Linked DNA regions of Diceros bicornis minor. The protein of the gene in region 2 binds, or shares a complex with, the protein of the main gene of each other region. Links are inferred from orthologs where the notes say so. Each region holds a gene or a part of one and is shown on either strand. Other genes may lie near its edges.

Region 1 (10,882 bases), on a different chromosome or scaffold from region 2:
GCCTCACTGTGCTGTGGTTCTTGCCCTCAGATTTCTATAAGCTTCCTCTTCCAGCTTTACAAAAAGAAAAAAATCCTCTTTCCTGAGCTAGCTTGAGTGGGCCTCAGCTCCTTAGAGAGCATTGTTCCTGTTTAGTGCCAAGAAGTGCAGGACAGCACGGTATGTGAGGACAGAATTTATTTTCCAAACCAGGAATCTTTGAAAAGAAAAGAGGGTGCTAGCAATTCTGCCAGGACAACAGGTATAAATAAACCAGGACTGTCACAGGCAATGGGACGTATGGGTATCCTCAGGATGGGAAACCCATGAATTAGGAGACCCAGCTTGCACGGCTAACCCTACCCCTACCTCTCTATTTGCCTTCATAAGTCACTATGTTTCTAGTGTCATAGAAATATAAAGGTGATTTCATACCCACCATCATTCATTTTAAAACTGAGATAGTCTCAGTTTCTCTGACTGTAAAATAACAGACTAAGTGATGCCTAAGGTTTTTTTTCTTATTCTAAGACTTTATGTCTTCATAACTCCGAAAAGAAGCAACTCAGGAAATGAGGTAGATATGCAAGGAGCCCTTTAAGATTATATAGAGTTGACTGTCTTTACATAAACAACAATGAAGATGTTTTATCAATTCGACTTTAAAAAAGAAGACCCCCACATATTCACCAATCACTGTTATTTGGTTAAATTGTCACTGACTAGATTTTATTTCTTGAGGCATCCATAGAACAGCTCCAAACTTGGCCAGCTGGTACTCGCTTGCCCAGAGCCTTAGGTTCCGGCAAAGGGCAAGTCTATTTGCCCTGCTCTTCCCACTCCTGAGACCTAATGCTATCAGCCTTCCTTGGCCTTGAAAAGGAAGAATGTGAACAGTCTCCTTCCCTCTCACTGGTTCCCTTGCCAGCCCATCTCCTAACTAGCCAGCCCTGACCTTGGCCCGCTCTGCGTCCCCATTTCTGGGAGATGTTCAAGTCTAAGTGCAAATTTAATATCCTGAGCTGCACATTTGCTCTCAAGCAAAGGTCACATGCCTGTCTCATAGAATCTCAGAAACCAGGAGCTAGAAGGAAACTTATCTATTGTATAAGCTTCAATTTCTAGCTGAGAAAAGAATAGCCAGAAGCAATAACAAACGTCCACATTCAGGCATTGTGGAAAGGACTGTGCCAGATGCTTTACATCAATCATTTTATTTCACTCTTGCAACAACCCTAAGGTAGGGATTCTTATGACCCCCGTTTTCAGAATGAGGAAACTAAGGTTTCAAGGGGTTCAATAATTTGCCACCTGGCTTGTTCAACTTAATCCAAGTATTTGTTAGTGACAGAAAAGGGAATTTTAACCAAGCTCTGCTGATTCTCAGGACACTGTTCTTTCAACTAAAACGAACAAAGTGAGGCCACAGGCATTTATCATGTACCTCCATGCACAGGCACTGTGCTTGGTACCAGGACAACTAGCGGGGTTACCAAATGAAATGTAACATACAATCCTGCCCTTCCAGGCTCTCTGGAGGAAAAGAGAGTGCTGGGTTTCTGCAAAGCTCTGTCTTTAGGGAGGTCCAAACACTTGACAGAGAAGGCCTGGTTCATGCTCAGAATATCCCTCAGGAAAAGGGTATGGACAGACAAAGGGGAGGCATTACTGGGCTTCTTTTGAAATAGAGAAAATTGAAGCAGAAACAATCACAGGACTTGCCCAAAACAAGGCACTAACCAGTGAAGCCAAGAATGGAACCAAATTGTCTTGGTTCCTTCTACGCCATTCACTGGACAGAATTAAAATCTCCCTTCAGTCACCTCTGTTCACTGCAGGGCTCAAGGACAATTATCACCTGAGGCAAATTCTTCTGATAGGAATTATGTTACTAAGCTTCTCAGAACTAGCCAAAGCTACTCACGTGAATTTCATCCCTTTTCTTTCTTCTCTTTTTAATGGAGACAAGTCAGGGCATGAACAATCTTCAAATGAGAAAACTAAGAACTGGGAGTATCAGAGTGGATTATATTACAACTATATTAAAGTCAAGGTATGAGTGAATTGTTCCATGATAATACTAATGGAAATAAGGATGGTGGCCAAAATTGATCTCCCGTTCCAGGCCTGAGATTGTGCTGAGGGCTTTACACAGACCACCTCACTCAGTCTCACAGTAACACACACACAGAGGCAGATCCCGGGTTTGTGTGAAGCTTACACAATGCAAGGAAGCCCTTCCTAAGAAAAAGATAATTTTGGATACAGAATTAGGTACAGGGTCTTGGAAGGGCCTGTGCAAGTGAAGAGCCCAAAACTTCAGCGTTGTGAGCTTCATGGTAAATGCAGTGCTGTGCCCAAGATAGCTAACATCCTCTCTTTTCCAAGTAATAACACTGAGGCTCAGAGAAGTTAAGTAGCTTGCCTGGAGTCAAAAAGCTTGTAAATGGCAAAGCTAGAATTTGAACATAGTGTGTCTGACTTTAAATCTTATGTATTTTTTCTTTGCTTATGTGGCTTCTAACAAAAATAAAACTGTTATCATTTACAAAACACTAACTATATCTCATGAAAATTACACCCATTTTCCCTAATAATTCTTATAACCTCTCTATTTCCATGAGTCGTTATTATCCCCATTTATAGATGGAGAAACTGAGAATCAAGAAAGGTGAAGTGCCTGGCCCAAGGTCACCCAGCTAGTACATGGTGGGGCCAGGACTCACGCCCAGGAGTGTTGACCTGCAAAGTCCTCACTCTGTCCCACTATCCCAGGCTACCTCCCTACAGGTGATCCAGGAGATCTGAATGATAATGATGGCATGTGTGACCTCTGGTTGACTCACAATACTCCCACCTGTCCACTGAAACTAGCCCTGTCATTGAGTTTCATACACCACATGGTGCAGTGTTCCTTAATGGGACTGGGCAATTCTGAAAGTCCACCTCCCCTGTACTATAATTTATTAGTCAGAGTCCATTTCTCCTGGAGAAAACCACATGGAAGCCAATCACTAAATATCAACGCAAACTCAAGCCCCAGCCAAGCTGCCCTACAGCCACCCCCCTGCCCCCCTTGAAATGGAGACTCACAGGGCATCTGAGGGCTGGTGAGAGCTGAGGCAACTGGAAAGATCACTCTTCTCACAGGGCTCTCCTGAAACAGTCTTTCAAAGCCACACAAGAAAAGTCACATATGGAGCATAATTGGATAGCTGAACTCTAGTCAAGAGTTTACATCCTTAAACAATCTCGCCATGGATTTGCAGGTAGACAGGAGTGGAGAAGGTTCAGTTTAGTCTTTTCCTTAAACATGAGTGCTCAGGGAAAACAACAGTCTTTGAGAGGCTCCGGCAGTCGGCTTCATCTTCCCTTGGCAATGTGAACTTTTAAAAAATTATATTATGCTTTGCCATGACTATTTTTTGTTTTGTTTTGTTTTAAGTTGCCTTTAGCTGCCAGATTTCACGTAATTGATGGCTTTTGGTAACCACTATTAAAGGGATATGTGCTGCCACCGGGAACAAGACAACTTTACTAACCGGAAGTGCAGTGATCCAGCTGGACCAGGCCGCAGCTTGTTTATCCGGCCAACAGCAAGCACAAGCCAGGGGGAGAAACTAAGCATGCGGTTATGGGTGCTAACGGAAGGCTGCTCCAGTGATTTTCTTTTTTAAAGGAAAAAGTGATCCCAGTAACTCTCTTTTGTTCCTCTTTCCACACGGATTGGTGGGTGTGGGTGAAAGGGCAGAAGAAACGACCACTGGTGAAGTCAACAATGGAGAAGTCTCTGAAATGACCAGCTCTCTAACTCACCCATCTGGGAGAAGAGACAGATTCAGAGTCTTTTAAGAATCTAAATGTATCTTCGCCTGAAGCGAATGGCTGTTTGAGAAGAGCAAGAATCGGTAGTGAGACAAAGCAACCAGACTGTTGGTACAAGATACCAAGCTGCTAAGTGGGGGGTTAGGGGGTGGGGCCGGGTAAGCACAGACTTTGACGGATTGAAATGTCACCCAGCCCCAAGGCCTAAGAGAGCTACCAACCGCCTTGCCTTGCCCTGCCCGGCCCAGGAAGGCAAGCACACAATAGATCACACACCCACTTCTCACCCGGAGCCCTACACCACTCCAAAGGCCTCAGCAAGCAGCCAACAAACCTGCCTCCTCTGTGGTGTCTTTCACTTAGTTTTGTTTCTTCATGAAGTGGGAGGGAAACGAGTTTGGGCCCAACAGAGATTGGGGTGTAGGGCAGGCCTGGGAGGGGGGAGATGCAAATGATAAAATATAAGTGAAAGCCTTTTTAAAAAGTCTAGATCCACAGTCTTATTTGTTATTATAAAGAGGACAAGTCATTTCCATTGCTCTCCATCCTTCTTTAACCCTTCCCGACCAACCCCAAGAAGACAAGGAAGAAAGGAGGGCTCTGGTGGGGCGAGTTCGCCGGGAGCAGACCTTCCCCGCACAAGGTTCAGCAGGGGGAGGGTGGGCTGCAAGCGCCCCCGGCACGCGCGGGTGCGCGAGGAAAGACACACACACACACACACACACACACACACACACACACACCGCCCCGCCTCACCTTCTCGAAGACACACACACACACACACGCCCCGCCTCACCTTCTCGATCTTCTGGTCCACGGCCTTCTGGAAGACCCGGGACACCAGCAGCGTGACGCTGGACACCAGCAGGAGCAGGGACAGCGTCCCCACCGTGTAGAAGCAGCACCTGCCCATTCTGCGCGCCGTTCACGGGCCGGGCCGGCGACCCAACAGGAGAGAGGGCGGGGCCGCCGCCGCAGCGCCGGCCGGAAGAGCCGGGATCCTCCGGCGCCCGCGCTCCGCTCCTGGCGTCCGCGGCGCGGCCCGGGCGGTGCGCGCGGCTGCCGGCTCGGCGGCTGGACGAGCGGGGCCCGCGGGGCGCCCGGCTGGCCGGCTGAGGAGTGGAACGAGCCGCTTTGGTTTCGGTTTCCCTGCCGGGGCAGCCGCGGCGCCCGCCTGGCGCAGCTCGGGAGGGAGAGAGGGAGCGCGCAGGGCCGTGACGCCCGCCGGCCGGGCTCGCCGCAGCCCCGGGAGGCAGCAGCCAGCAGCTGCGCGGGGGAGCGGGCGGGGCGGGGGCCGGCGCCGCAGTCATGTGCCCCGGAGCGGCGGTCGCGATTCGGTCCGCGAGAGCCGCGGCCGCTCCCGGCGGTCCCCCAGCGCTTCGGCTCCCTGAGCCGGGCCAGGCCCAGACGCGCCCCCGCCCCCTCGCCGCAGGCTCCCCCGTTACCCCGGAAAATCGCCCGTCCTCGGCTCATTCACTTACTCACCCCGCAGAAACGTACTGCGGGCCTACCAAGTGCCGAGCTGGGGAGTCAGGATGAACACATTGCCGCTGCTCTAGACGGGCTCACAAGTTGGCAGGGACACTGTGACAGCAATTACAGCGCAGTGTAAATAAGTGCTTTCACGAGGTGCGGGCTGAGATCTGTGCCAACCAGCAGATTCTGCCCGGGTGACCTAGGACCCCATAATTGACCTGGGTCTTGGAGGATGTGTAAGTTTGTCATTTGAGGGGTGTGTACAAGGCAGGGAGGAGGCATTTCAAGAAGAAGAAAAAGGTGTGGTAAGACACTTGGGGTGAAAGAGCAAGATTGTAAGAGGGAAGAAGGGAGTTCCTTTTGACTGTAGGTTCAGGGGTGCAGAGTGTGGGTTAGGAGGTGTTGAGGCCCCTTGGGGTCAGACTTGGAAGGGCTCTTTGTATCCCCTGGAAGAGTTGAGACTTTATCCCTCAGCAGTGGCAGTCAGCGAGAAGCTTCAAGCAGGTGACCCTGACGTTGTTCCCATCCGCTTTGCTCACTGTTATGTCCCAGGCACCCAGGCTAGAGCTGGCATAGAGCAGGGACTCAATAAATATTAGTCGAATGAGTGTCAACTATATGCTAGGCCTTGGCTAGGTGCTTACACGTACCCACTTATTTAATACCCACAACAGCCTTGTGAGTAGATGGCTGTCCCAGTCTCCCCAAAGCAGTGCCAGACAGGAGCACTGTGCAAGAAATTTATGAGGGAATATGGACAGGGAGCTGGACCTGGGATGCAGGTATGATCTCTGTGAAGGAGTCAAGCAAGGAAGGTTAGGTGGAAGGATGCAGCACTAAGAAAGTTCAGCAAGGCTGTAGGAGGTCCTTGAGCCAAATTGGCCTGTCTCAGGAGTCCAGCATCTCTTTGGAATAGGCCTCTTATGCTTAGTCATGGACCAGGAGCAGCCCTAGGACCTGGCTTCTGTACCAAGCTGGGGATGAATATCAGAGGATAGATTTCAGAGCTCCAGCAGCTGGGACAGGGCCATTGGTCAGTTATGCTCTGCACTAGAAGATCTGAGAAGTTCATTTTCTTGGCCACTATAGTAGTAGTATTGCCATTTTATACACAAGGAAACCATGAATCCGAGAGGTAAGTAACCTAACAAGTTCACCCAGTTGCTGATAGTGGATCCCGGCTGGACCAGAATGCAGGCCTGATGACCTCTAAAGCCCTCACTTTTTCTACCCTATGCATTGCTGCCTCCCAGCTGCCATCAGTGAGAATCTGGGGACAGGGAGTTCAGCTGGGAGACTTTGGTAAGGACTTGGTGAGATGCTGTGATGTATTAAAAATGGTGGCAGAGTGACATCAGCATCATGGCGGAATGAGCTTTCCCATAAACTCTTCCCCCGATAAGATACAACAAAAGGGACAGTCACAGACCAACAATGGACTCCTAGACAGCAAAAAGGAAGATCGGAAAGATCCACACTGCCACACATCTGAGAGTGGACGTGTTGGGGCCCCTGGAGGAAGTGGGGAGAGGTAAGGAGAACTCCTCTCCCTCCCCATTAGATCAGCAATCCGGGTCCCCGCGCCTCCCAGAGAGGGAGGGGCAGCCCTCTGCAGGGAAACCGTAGCTCTTCAGGCTCTCTCAGCCAGTGGGAAACTCTGGAAACTCCCACACAGAGGACTCAGCACTGCTGCAGGGGTGCCATCAACATCTGAGCACTCCAGGAAAGCAGATAACGGAGGGGCAAGCGAGAAACCCCCCCATGCCAGGGACCCAGCGGGCAAAAGACAGAGCTCCCCACCCCCCACCCCACATGCCCGACACTACAGCTCAGCCGACCAGACCAGGCAGAGCAGCCCAACTGATCCCAGCGAGCAGCCGGGGCAGAGCACAGGGGGCTCAGATTACACAGCTTTTAACCACCACACGGTGGCGGCAGGTGAAAACTGCAACCAGATACTTCCAGGATGAGGAAAAACAAAGCGAATACAGGAACCACGATGCAAAGGTACATGAAATCACCAGACCAGAAGGAAAATGACAAGCACCCAGAAACCAACCCTGAAGGCACAGAAATCCATAACCTAAACGACAGAGATTTCAAAATAGCTATCATAAAAAAACTCAATGAAATACAAGATGACACAGAGAAACAATTCAATGAGATAAGGAGTTTCCTCACAAAAGAGATTGAAATCATAAAGAAAAACCAGTCAGTACTGATGGAGATGAAGAACACAATGGAGGAGATAAAGGAGTGGAATCTTTAAAGAACAGAGCTGACAATATGGAGGAAAGAATTAGCATTATAGAGGATAGGAATACAGATATGCTCCAGATGGAGGAGGAGAGAGAACTAAGACTAAAAAGAAATGAAGAAAGTCTCCGAGAAATATCTGACTCTATTAGGAAATGTAACATAAGAATTATAGGTATTCCTGAGGGAGAAGAGAAGGAAAAAGGAACAGAGAGCCTATTCAAGGAAATAATAGCTGAGAACTTCCCAAATCTGGGGAGGGAGCAGGAAATACCAGTAAGTGAAGCCAATAGGTTGCCTAAATACGTCAACAGGCAAAGACCCACTCCACGGCATATAGTGGTAAGGCTGGCTAAAGTCAATGACGAAGAAACAATATTAAGGGCAGCTAGACAAAAACAAAAAATAATGTACAAAGGAAGTCCCATCAGGCTCTCAGCGGATTTCTCAACAGAAACTTTACAGTCTAGAAGAGACTGGAATGATATATTCAAAATACTGAAAGACAAAAACTTTCAGCCAAGAATACTCTATCCAGCAAAAATATCCTTCAAATATGATGGAGAAATAGTAACTTTCCCAGATAAACAAAAGCTAAGAGAGTTCATGGCCACGAGACCCCTACTACAGGAAATACTTAAGAAGGCCCTCAGGCCTGAAAAAAAGAAGAGAAAGGGAATACAAAGCTTGGAGCAAGGAGAATAATAGGTAGACAAGATCAGAAAAATAGTAGATCTTTACCAGAATAGGTTAGCAACCACTTAAATACCAAAATCAAAGATCAAAGGAAGGAAATCATCAAAAATAAATATAACCTCATCACTGTAAACACACACCCACAACACAAGATAGAATAAGTTGTAACAAGAATGACTTAGAAGGGGAAGAGGAAAGAGATTGATTTGCCTTAGTTTAAGGAAATAAAAGGCCATCAGATAATGGACTATCTCAAACACAAGATTTTTTATACAAACCTCAAGGTAACCACTAAACAAATAATCAAAACAAAACCACATATGATAAACAAAGAGAAAACTGGAAGAGTCATAAGACAGAACAACCAAACTGAATTGGCAGTCCGAAACAAATGGGACAAGAAACAAAGGAAATGCAAAAGAACTGTAAAATAAGTGACAAAACAGCAACATCAAGCCCTCATATATCAATAATTACCCAAAATGTAAATGGATTGAACTCTCCAATCAAAAGATACAGAGTGGCAGCATGGATTAAAAAGCAGGACCGAACAATATGCTGCCTCCAGGAAACACATCTCAGCTCTAAAGACAAGCGCAGGCTCAGAGTGAAAGGATAGAATACAATACTCCAAGCTAATAGCAAACAAAAGAAAGCAGGTGTTGCCATACTCATATCAGACAAAGTAGACTTCAAGATAAAACAGGTTAAGAGAGACAAAGAAGAGAAATATATAATGATAAAAGGGACACTCTACCAAGAAGACATATCAATTATAAATATATATGCACCCAACATAGGAGCACCAAAGTACATAAAGCAACTATTAACAAACCTAAAAGGAGATATTAACAACAACACAATAATAGTAGGGGATCTTAATACCCCACTTACACCAATGCATAGATTATCCAGACAAAAAGTCAATAAAGAAACAGTCAACTTAAATGAAAAATGGGATGAGATGGACCTAGTAGACATATACAGAGTACTCCATCCAAAAATAGCTGACTACACATTCTTCTCAAGTGCGCATGGAACATTCTCAAGGATAGACCATATGTTGGGAAACAAAGCAAGCCTCAATAAATTTAAGAAGATTGAAATCATAACAAGCATCTTTTCAGACCATAGTGCTATGAAACTGGAAATCAACTAGGAGAAAAAAACTGAGAAAGCCACAAAGTTGTGGAGATTAAACAACATGCTACTGAACAACCAATGGATCATTGATGAAACTAAAGGAGAAATCAAAAAATATCTGGAAACAAACAAAATGAAAATATGCCATACCAAATCATATGGGATGCAGCAAAAGCGGTCCTGAGAGGGAAATTCATAGCAATACAAGCCCACCTTAACAAACAAGGAAAAGCCCAAATAAGCAACCTTAAATTACACCTAACAGAACTAGAAAAGGAAGAACAAACAAAGCCCAAAGTCAGCAGAAGGAGAAAAATAATAAAAATCAGAGCAGAAATAAGTGAAATTGAGACCAAAAAAACAGTAGAAAGGATTAACGAAACAAAGAGTTGGTTCTTTGAGAAGATAAACAAAATTAACAAACCCTTAGCCAGGCTTACTAAGAAAAAAAGAGAAAACGCTCAAATAAATAAAATTAGAAATGAAAGAGGAGAAATTACAATGGATTCCACGGAAATACAAAGGATTATAAGAGAATACTATGAGAAATTATATGCCAACAAATTGGACAATCTAGAAGAAATGGATAAATTCTTAAACTCATACAACCTCGCAAAACTGAACCAAGAAGGAATGGAGAATCTGATAGACCAATCACAAGTAAAGAGATTGAAATAGTAATCAAAAACCTCCCAAAAAATAAAAGTCCAGGACCAGATGGCTTCTCCAGTGAATTTTACCAAACATTCGAAGAAGATTTAATAGCCATCCTTCTCAAACTATTCCAAAAAATGGAGGAAGATGGAACACTTCCTAACTCATTCTATGAGGCCAACATCACCCTGATACCAAAGCCAGACAAAGACAATACAAAGAAGGAAAATTACAGGCAAATATTGCTGACGAACATAGATGCAAAAATCCTCAACAAAATATTGGCAAAGCGAGTACAGCAATACATTAAAAAGATCATACACCATGATCAAGTGGGATGTATACCAGGGACGCAAGGATGGTTCAACATCCACAAATCAATCAACGTGATACACCACATCAACAAAACAAAGAATAAAAACCACATGGTCATCTCAACAGATGCACAGAAGGCATTTGACAAGATATAACATCCATTTATGATAAAAACTCTCAACAAAATGGGTATAGAAGGAAAATACCTCAACATAATAAAGCTTATTTGTGACAAACCCACAGCCAACATCATACTCAACAGGGAAAGACTGAAAGCCACTCCTCCGAGAACAGGAACAAGACAAGTCTGCCCACTCTCACCACTCTTATTCAACATAGTACCGGAGGTTTTGACCAGAGCAATTAGGCAAGAAAAAGGAATAAAAGGAATCCAAATAGGCAACGAAGAAGTGAAACTCTCACTATTTGCAGATGACATGATTTTATATGTAGAAAACCCTAAAGAATCCATTGGAAAACTATTAGAAATAATGAACAACTACAGCAAAGTCGCAGGGTACGAAATCAGTTGCATTTC
Region 2 (10,242 bases):
GAGAAGCTGAGAAATCCGAGGCAGATGTAACTGCCCGAGACCCAAGCATTCGGGAAAAGGGTGATGGGGTGTGCAGATCTATGAAGGGAAAGCAAGACAGGGAATCATGATATCCCCAAATTTGCCCCAGCGAGCAAGCCATCTGGGGAAAAGTTGGAGAGGAGGGCCTTCTGTCAGCCTGTGGTGAGACCAGGAAGGGCTCTGAGGTGGTCTGCTTTGTGGAAAGGGAGACAGGTGGCTCACCGTGATGATGCTGTGGCTATACTGCATCCCTCGATCCCAGGAGCCTAGGCGCACACTCTGCTCCCAGAACTTGGAGCCCACACAGGCCTCTGAGGCAAAGAGCGTGGTGTTGGGGAACAGGCGGTGTGTCTCCCCCAGCGTGGCTTTTGCTGGAGCTAGAAAGTCCAGGTACCAATGTACAGCGATACCATGAACGTACTTAGCTGCCTCTGGGTCCTCCAGCACCTGTACAGGAAAGGGGAAGGACACCTGGGGAAAGGGAGCCACTGAACCTGGCCCCTGCACGGAGGGTTCTGGAAGAAGGACTAGGTGACCTGAGACATGGGCGGTGGGATGAACACAATTAGAAGGGATTAAAGTGACAACCGGGGGATCCATGGGGCCCTGGCGATCCCAGAGCAAGTCTCCATCCCCTCAGCACCACAGGGGTGGTACCTGGCCCCAGCCTGGGGTGCTCTAGGAATGAAGAGCAGGAGAGGCACTCTGTTCGAGAGCCAGTCATTTGGATGCTGGATTTGGGGGTCACTAGGGTACCCATGGAGGTCCTGGGCCTTACCACTTGGGCCCAGCGGGGCAGCAGCAAGCGTTGGTCATCCAGTATGAGCAGACGGACATTGTGGTGCGTACTGTTGGCAAGGGCAGGACCCAGGTCACGGGCAATGAAGTCTCGCTGGTGTTCAGGGGTGAAGCCCAGGCACTGGAAGGGGTACCCGCTAATGAGCCCTGCAGAAGGCTCGTTCTCAGCTGTCACTGCCCAGAACTGTAACTTGTGCTCAGCATAGGCATCCAGGAACCTGGCAGGAGGAAAGGTGTGAGTGGCCAAGAAAGGGGACCAAGACTGGAGAATAGGAGGCCTGATAAGGTGGGGAAAACTGAGGGGTCCGAGTCTGAAAGGCCCAGAAGGTAGAAAGACGAGGTGAGGAGAGTCAGATCTGGAGGCAGAACCAGGTCGAGGGTTGGGACATAGACCAGGGTGTCCAAAAGGGGAGGTTGATTAGACCCCATGCCCTTGCTGCCCCCTTACTTGACAAAGTATCTGGCCCAAGTCTGGTGGTAGAGATCCCCTGGCTGACCCTTGAGTGACCCCTTCCCATTCACTTTCCCATTGGTCTTGAGCCAAGTGGGTGATGTCCAGGGACTGGCGAAGAGTGAGACAGGGCGCTGGGCCAAATTCAAGGCTTGGTGAATCAGGGGTATCTAGAGACAAAGGTAGTGAGGAGAGAGACACCCAGAGTTGGAACATAGACAAACTGGCCCAACCAGTGCATCAGGCCTAGCCATCAGCCTCCGCCCTCCTACCCCCAGGACAAAACGGAGAGCAGAGGGCAGGTTCTATGTCTCTCTGCAGGCTGCTCTAGCCTGAGGCTTCTCAACCACCAGGCATCAATGCCACCAGGGCCTGAGGCAGCCAGATTGCCCACCTTGAGTTTGACATCTTCCTCTGGGAGGCTGAAGTTGTGCAACTGGAAGTCATCAGGGGTGTCGGCATAGGTGTATATGCGGATGGAGAAGTCACAGCTGGCCATGGGTACCCGGATGATGTTGTATTCGATTCCTGCAGAAAAAGAAGACCAAGATACAGGAGTCTGAGTCAATAGGAGAATGTGGGACCTGGCCTACCACTTGCCAGTACTGAATTACATCTGAGTCAGACCAAAGGGAACTTGGGTTGGGGCCTGTGGAGCCAGGCACATGGGTGAAGCACAGGCCCCCAAGCCTGAGAGTCGCCAAGACTCAGTGGAAGATGTGTAGGACATTTTTATTCCACTGGGCATTAGGAGAGGACCCAAATGTTAGGGATGGGTGGAAGTCAAGGTCAAAGGAAAGGACAGGGTCAACTGCACTGTGTCATCTTGCCCCCTCCTCACCTTCTTCAGAGAAGTACGATTTGAGTAGCAAATCCTGGGCAGGGGGTGACAGGGCAAGGATGTTGAGAGCAGCAGCATCTGTCATGGCCCCTCCAAATCCCTTCACTTTCTGGAACTTCTGATCTGGCTGCAGGGTCAGTAGCAGCCCTGGGGACATCCACAGGGAATAAAGGGTGTCAGTGCACAGGGGAGAAACTCCGTGGTGGTTGCTGGCATGATTTAGTTCCAGCAGGATTGAGCCTGGCTCGAGGTGAGGGGTGTAGTGGTCACCTGTGCCCGTGCGGTTGGCCTGGATGGTCCCCTGACTCAGCTCCATTCGGCGGCCACTGCGTGTGCTCTCATAGCGGCTGAAGGTGCCAGTGGCAGGCAGGGTCAGGGGGTCAAGAGAGTCACAATACGTGGCATTGCAGACACAGACCACTGAGCTGTAGCCAAAGCTTTTAGGGCTGCATGGGCGGGCACCTGGAAAGGAGGAAGCACAAGCAGAGGCAAGGGCTGAGGGATGAAGATGGGGTGTAGGCGCACACAGGTTGGAAAGCGAGACCCAACACTGGTTTCAAAAATCCTCTTGCTGGGGCTGGCCCTGTGGCATAGCGGTTAAGTGCGCGCGCTCCGCTGCTGGCGGCCCGGGTTCGGATCCTGGGCGCGCACTGACGCACTGCTTGTCAGGCTATGCTGTGGCGGCGTCCCATATAAAGTAGAGGAAGATGGGCACGGATGTTAACCCAGGGCCAATCTTCCTCGGCAGAAAAAGGGGAGGATTGGCATGGATGTTAGCTCAGGGCTGATCTTCCTCACAAAAAAAAAAAAAAAGGAAAAAAAAAAATCCTCTTGCTGTACCCTCACCCCAAGGTTGGTCTCAGTCACTCCAAAGGGTTGCTGAGCACCTGCTGGAGTGCACCACCAGTATGCCAGAAGGCTCACAAAGGCCCATAAGGCAGAAGGGAGCCTCGGGCTACCTCCTTCCTCCTTGACTCACTCACCTGATGCCCACGAAACTGCCTGAAGTAGAAGCAATCCCATGAGGCTGGCAGCCATGATGCCTACCCGGCCCAGGTGCTTGAGACACTCCTGAGAACAGAATAAGAAGCGGCTAGAAGGCAAGCCCCTCTCCACCCTTCAGCTACTCTCCCAGGCAGGGCTCGCTGCCTGTGGGCACCCAGAGCCTAGTGTCCCACCTTTAATAGGGATGGAACAAGGCCCACAGACACCTGAGTGCAGCCCTCCCTCCAAGCCCCCTGCTAGTGAAAGCTCTCTGCCCACCCCCACCAGGACCCGCCTCCACCCCTCTTCTCACCCATTTCTCCCTCGACGTCCCCCCATCTGTTCCTCCATCAAAGAGCCATGATGGCCTGGGTTCGAGGAGAGTCTGTCATTCACTGAATTCCAGGGCCTGGATGGCCAGGATTCCAGAAGCAGCGTGACAAGACCAATTGGGAGCCCTGGCCCACTCACCTCTATGGGAGGACTTGAAAGCTCTACCACTAGATGAGAAGTCTGCAGGGTTCCCGAGCCTCAGCGGGATAGAGGATCCACTAAATAAAAACAGAGATGCAGGTACCCGCGGTAGCTACTGACACCAGATTAGCCCTTCGGGTTAATTCCGGCATAATAGAGTGGACAGGTCATGTGATGACGACGGGAGAGTCACATGATACAGGAAATGAGGCAATTGCAACCATACTTGTAAAGGGCTACTGGCTTCTTCCGGGCTGTTGGCGATTACACACTCTATGATAAATTCTGGAAGGCTTGTGTGGATGACTACTTTAGGAAGAATCTAGATCAAAGATCTGAGTGGAGGCTTGGGTAGAGACTCCTGAATCCCATAGGATGGGAACCACAGCAGGCACATTGCTTTCTTGAGAAAAAATTTTAAATACTAATACAAGTGATACTAATAAAAGAAGTTCACTGTGCAAAATACTGAAGTCAAAATACTGAGAGGATTAAGACAGTCTTTGCCCTATAGAGGCTCATGAGGCAGGGGAGTCATGTGATTACACGGATAGTTACAGATAAAGACAAAAACAGGTAACAGGTGTGCATGGAGGGAGGCTTCATTGGGGGGAGTTGTCCTGGAAGGCTTCCCGGAGGAGAAGGGGCGGGGATTATTAACCAGCGAAGTCCAGGGAGGATGGGCCCTAGGCAGAGGGAGGGCCTGACTGAAGGGAGGGAGTCATCAACATGGCGCCTCTCGAGACCTCCATTCTTTCATCATCAGATGCAGCTTGTCGTAACTGTTCTTCCTTTCTCACAGGACAGGGAGGTTGTGTAAAGTAGTTCAGAAATTGGAAAGGGTTGCAGAAAGCTGTATCCTCCGTGGATAAGAGAAGGGGGTGGTCCATGCCTCATGCCTCATGGACCACATCACATATGACTTAGTGGTTGTGACACAACCGTGACCTGACAACTCCAGCTCTCTGAGCCTGCTTCCTCACCTGTAAAATGGAGGCAGTCCCACACCCTCATGGGTCATTACCAGAATCTGTGAGATGAGCACAATGCCTGGTGCATAGTAGGTGCTTGGGAACCGCCTGTTTGTTGTTTTTGTCTCTTTGTTTTTTTTTTTTTTTATAATTTTATTTATTTATTTTCCCCCCAAAGCCCCAGTAGATAGTTGTATGTCATAGCTGCACATCCTTCTAGCTGCCGTATGTGGGACGCAGCCTCAGCATGGCCAGAGAAGCGGTGCGTCGGTGCGCACCCGGGACCCGAACCTGGGCCGCCAGCGGTGGAGCGCGCGCACTTAGCCGCTAAGCCACGGGACCGGCCCTGTCTCTTTGTTTTTTAAAATTATCTCAGTGAGTCTTTTCCTGACACACTCCAGGCAAAATGGATCCTCCCTTCTTCTAGGTTCCTATAGCACTTAAGTATATAGTCTCAGATGAGCTGGATTTGAATCCTGGCTTCACCATTTCCTAGCTGTTTGACCTTCAATAAATTACTTTAATCACTCTAAGCCTGTATTTCTCATCTCTAAAAGAGGAGTGATGACTCCTACCTCCTGGAGTTGCTGTGAGGTTTAAGTACGATAATGTGTGTGTCTAGCACAGTGCTTGGCACGAAATATTGCAACCAGTTAGGTCTGTGTTTATGGAGGGAGCTTGGAGTTCCCTCCAAGGAATGTCTTACTCATTCTGTGTAGACGGCCTGGCACAGAGTGGGTAGGTGCCAAATTGTTGAACTGAATTGAACCATCATCACTATGTCAGTATTGGCCCCATCTGGACTTCCTGTTTTTCCAGGAAATGTTACGCAGGGCTTGTTCTCTGAAGGAGAGCAGGTGATATCTAGTACCTTACTTCCCTTTAGTTCATTCACTCCACAAATATTTATTAAGCACATACTACATTTGCCCCTGCCTGCTCTGTTGGGTGTAGAGCCCCCCTCCCCTCCCTGTTTCGCTCTGCAGGCACAGAGTTTGTGAGTCTCTTGTTTCTTCTTTTTATCCTTCAGTTTGCAAAAGTTTTCCAGAGTGGATACCATCTCATCGTTCAGATTTCTCTCACAATGTGATTTGCTCTTGAGGCTTTTATATTTTATTTTCTAAATAAAGTTGGTTATAATAAGGGCCAATATTTATTGAGTACTTATTCTGTGCTATTTTATGTTCATTGTCTCATTTCATTCTCACAAGGCAGATACTATTATTTTCCCCATCTTAGAGAGGAGGAAGCTAAGACTCTGAAAGGTCATTAAATTGCTCCAAGTCCCTTGGCTACTCAGTGGCAGAACCTGAATTCATGTCCAGAGTCCTATGACACACATCACACATTTAATGAGTGTCTCCAGTATGCCAAATGCCATGCTAGGCGCTGGTTATTTTCAGAAGCTGCTGTGCTGGTCTACAGTGTTCACTTTGTATTGTTTTAAAATCATCCTTTGTTTTTATGGAGTGTTTTACCTGCCCAAGATGAAGCCCAAGTTGGCTTCTGAAGTGCTGGCTATGTGGCAACATTTCTGGATCCATGTCCTCCAAGGGTATTAGTCAGGGGATACCAATTCAATAATGAAACAAAATCCAGAACTCCCAAGTTGGACAAGAATGATTGATTTTCAGTTGGGGAGGGGGGGGCCCTGCCTCCATCCCTGAGCTTCACTCTCCCCACCCTGGGAGATCTCAGCCCAACAGCCCGAGCACCCCCTTTTCATAGCAAGTATTTTCTAACATACTCTTTACTATCCTGAAATGAATGTATAGATGAGATGACTTACCTACACACATAATTTAGAAGAAAAATAATGGGACTATTTTATTATTATTTTTTTCTTTTTTTGTGAAGAAGATTAGCCCTGAGCTAATATCTGATGGCAATCCTCCTCTTTTTGCTGAGGAAGATTGGCCCTGGGCTAACATCCATGCCCATCTTCCTCCACTTTATATGGGACACTGCCACAGCATGGCCTGACAAGCAGTGCGTCGGTGCGCAGCTGGGATCCAAACCTGCAAACCCCAGGCGGTCGAAGCGGAGCACGAGCACTTAACTGCTGCGCCACCGGGCCGTCTGTAATGGGACTATTTTTTTATAATAAAATATGTTTTCAATAAGTAAATGCTGGGGCCGGCCCTGTGGCTTAGCGGTTAAGTGCGCGTGCTCCGCCACTGGTGGCCTGGGGTTCGGATCCCGCGCACCGACGCACCGCTTCTCTGGCCATGCTGAGGTCGCATCCCACATACAGCAACTAGAAGGATGTGCAACTATGACATACAACTATCTACTGGGGCTTTGGGGAAAATAAAAAAAGGAGAGGATTGGCAATAGATGTTAGCTCAGAGCTGGTCTTCCTCAGCAAAAAGAGGAGGATTAGCACAGATGTTAGCTCAGGGCCAATCGTCCTCAAAAAAAAAAAAAAAGTAAATGCTTAGGCACGATTACCTAGAACACATAATGTAGTCAGATCTTACACTAACCTAAATGGAATAAATTAATATTTAAAAGAAGCAAAAACAGCCCGTGAATTAATAAATAATTTCAATGTCATTTTCACTATACGTAATTTTCACAACATGTAATTATCACTGTGCTGCAAAAACAAAAAATATATAAAAGTCAAAATGGTTAAAAGTCAATTTTCATGAATAAGATTCAGTACATTCCACATGTCTACAAATTTAATATTTGATTCTAAGCCTTGGCAATTCAATAAGGAAAAGGATAGTCTTTTCAACAAATGGTGCTGAGACAACTAGGTATTCACATGCAAAAAGATAAACTTAGACCCTTACCTCACTCCATAACCAAAAATTAAAGCAAAATAGATCATAGACCTAAATGTAAGAGTTAAAACTATAAAACTCCCGGAAGAAGGCATAGGAGTAAATCTTCGTGACCTTGGATTAGGCAATGGTTTCTTTTTCTTTTTTTTTTAAACAACAATAAACATTTATTATCTCACATCGTTTCTGTGGGTCAGGAATTCAGGAGTGGCTTAGCTGGACAGTTCAGATTTGAGGTTTCTCATGAGACTGTAGCCAAGATGTTGGCCAGGGCTGCAGTCATCTGCGGGCTTGACTGGGCCAAGGCTCTGCTTTCAAGATGAGCCACTAACTAACAGAGGTGGTGAACTGGGGCTGGCCGTTGGCAGGAGGCCTCATTTCCTCGCCATGTGGACTTATCCAAAGGACTGCTTCAGTGTCCTCACATCATTCATGGCAGCTGGATTCCTCCAGAGTGAGTGATCTAAGAGCAAGGCAGAAGCCACAACGTCCTAGGATTGCACATTATCATTTCTGCGATATCCTATTGGTTACACAGATCTTCCCTATACAGGGTGTGTGGGGTGGACAAAACAAAGGCGTGAACACCAGGAGGTGGGGAGCATTTGGGGCCATCTAGGAGGCAATCTGCCATAGTCCACCCTCTGGCCCCCAATAAGTCATGTCCCTCCAACATGTAAATACCCTTACCTCCTCCCAAAGTCCCCAAAAGTCTCATCTTATTATAGCAAAAGTCCAGAATCTCATTTGGCAATGGTTTCTTATATATAAATCCAAAACACAAGTGACAGGAGGAAAAAAAGATAAATTGGACTTCATCAAAACAAAAAGTATTTGTGCTTCAAGGATGCCATCAAGAAAGTGAAAAGACAACCAACCCACAGAATAGGAGAAAATATTTGCAAATCATATCTCTGATAAGGGCCTAGTATTCAAAATATATGAAGAACTCTTACAACTCAATAATAAAAAGATAACCTAATTTAAAAATGGGTGAAGGACTTTTTTTTTCCTGAGGAAGGTTCACCCTGAGCTAACATCCATTGCCAATCCTCCTCTTTTTTGGCTTGAGGAAGATTAACCCTGAGCTAACATCTGTGCCCATCCTCCTCTATTTTGTATGTGGGTCACCGCCACAGCATGGCTGATGAGTAGTGTAGGTCCGCGCCTGGGACCCAAACCCACAAACTCTGTGTGCTGAAGCAGAGCACGCCGAACTTAACCACTATGCCATGGGACCGGCTCCAGGGGTAAAGGATTTGAATAGACATTTCTCCAAAGATAATATACAAATGGCCAACAAGCACATGAAAAGATGCTCGACAACCTTAGTCATTAAGGAAATGCAAATCAAAACCACTATGAGATATCACTTCACATGCCCAAGGATGGCTATAATCAAAAAGGCAGACAATAACAAATGTTAACAGGATGTGGAGAAATTACAATGCTCGTATGTTACTGGTGGGAATGTATAATGATGCAGTCACTTTGGAAAAGAGTTTGGCAGTTTCTCAAAATGTTAAACATAGAGCTACCATATGACCCAGCAATTCCACTTGTAGGTATCTACTTAAGATGAATGAAAACATAGGTCCACACAAAGACTTGCAAGTGAATGTTTACAGCAGCGTTATTCATGGAAACAACATAAATGTCCAACAGTTGGTGAATGAATAAACAAATTGTCGTATTTCCCTACAATGGAATACTATTCAGCAATAAAAAGGAACAAAATACTGATACATGCAACAATGAACCTCAAAAACATTATGCCAAGTGAAAGAAGCCAGCTACAAAAGATCACATATTGTCTGATTCCATTTATATGAAATTCTAGACTAGGTGAATGTATAAAGACAGGAAATAGATTAGTGGTTGCCTGGGGCTGGGGTGGGAATGGAGATTAACTGTTGTACAACTCAGTAAATTTACTAAAAAATCACCGAACTGTACACTTACAAGGAGAGACTCTTATAATATGTAAATTATACCTCAATTAAGCTAGTAAAAAAATTTATTACATATGTGCAGTCAGTTCATTGCTTTTGCAGGAAGTGCACTACTGCACTGAAACTCTTTTCAACTAAACATATTACATAGTTGGAAATGCTCTAATACACTGAGTAGACAGATGCAGTACTTTCAAGACAATGTATTTTATTTAAGCTTCCTTCTCTATAATGATCTCCTAAATTATTGGGCTTTGTCCAAAAAATAGTTTTTGTAAAACTTTTCTGCATTATTATATATTAAAGTCCTGTTGATTTATATTTGATTTTATATTTGCATATGTTATTGAGCAGAACATTCCAAAGTCACGTAGAATAAGAGACAATTCTTCCTCGTGCAGGACTGTCCTGCATGTTATAGATCATCTACCCTTCCCTTTCTCCATCCACTAAATCCTCCAAGTGCCTCTTAATCATAGTCTCCACTAAAGAACTCAAGACACAAGTTTCCAAAATGCCCCCTAGGGGGCGACTGAGAACCACTGCCCTAGGGGCATCACCTCAAACACCTAGGCCCCGCTGCAGTGGCCACTAGGGGCGTACTGGGTGGCCACAAATGTGTTCCTCAGTCTGCTTTGCACAGCACTTTTAAAAGACTTAGCTAAACACCAAAGGAGGACAACTGGGAAATAAACATAAGCGAAACGCAGAAATACAAAAATAGTTTGGCTGATGGGGCCGGCCCGGTGGCACAAGCGGTTAAGTGTGCTTGCTCAGCTGCGGTGGCCCGGGGTTCGCCGGTTCGGATCCCGGGCGCGCACTGACGCACCGCTTGGCAAGCCATGCTGTGGCGGCATCCCGTATAAAGTGGAGGAAGATGGGCACGGATGTTAGCCCAGGGCCCGTCTTCCTCAGCAAAAAAACAGGAGGATTGGCATGGATATTAGCACAGGGCTGA

What was found. The genes of interacting proteins can lie anywhere in the genome.
Region 1: the proteins of GBA1 (region 2) and SCARB2 are in contact, whole or in part, in a cryo-EM structure (PDB 9FJF), measured with the Homo sapiens proteins. The link is inferred for Diceros bicornis minor from reciprocal best matches to the Homo sapiens genes GBA1 and SCARB2. Residues at the interface, in NP_000148.2 of Homo sapiens: Leu130, Asn131, Ala134, Ile169, Glu190, Lys194, Leu195, Pro430, Arg434, Ile445, Thr446, Asp448; in NP_005497.1 of Homo sapiens: Lys161, Ala162, Tyr163, Gln164, Lys181, Glu183, Leu187, Phe191, Arg192.

The regions. Positions count from the first base shown.
Region 1 is NC_080747.1:61,700,624-61,711,505, forward strand, and holds the start of SCARB2 (lysosome membrane protein 2), read right to left. Parts: upstream 5,016-10,882; 5' UTR 4,718-5,015; coding exon 4,601-4,717; intron 1-4,600.
Region 2 is NC_080743.1:59,106,554-59,116,795, forward strand, and holds the start of GBA1 (lysosomal acid glucosylceramidase), read right to left. Parts: upstream 3,951-10,242; 5' UTR 3,567-3,950; intron 3,265-3,566; exon of another isoform or gene 3,183-3,264; 5' UTR 3,150-3,182; coding exon 3,095-3,149; intron 2,574-3,094; coding exon 2,382-2,573; intron 2,259-2,381; coding exon 2,112-2,258; intron 1,799-2,111; coding exon 1,665-1,798; intron 1,441-1,664; coding exon 1,268-1,440; intron 1,038-1,267; coding exon 800-1,037; intron 469-799; coding exon 244-468; intron 1-243. UniProt on the Homo sapiens protein: Glucosylceramidase that catalyzes, within the lysosomal compartment, the hydrolysis of glucosylceramides/GlcCers (such as beta-D-glucosyl-(1<->1')-N-acylsphing-4-enine) into free ceramides (such as N-acylsphing-4-enine) and glucose.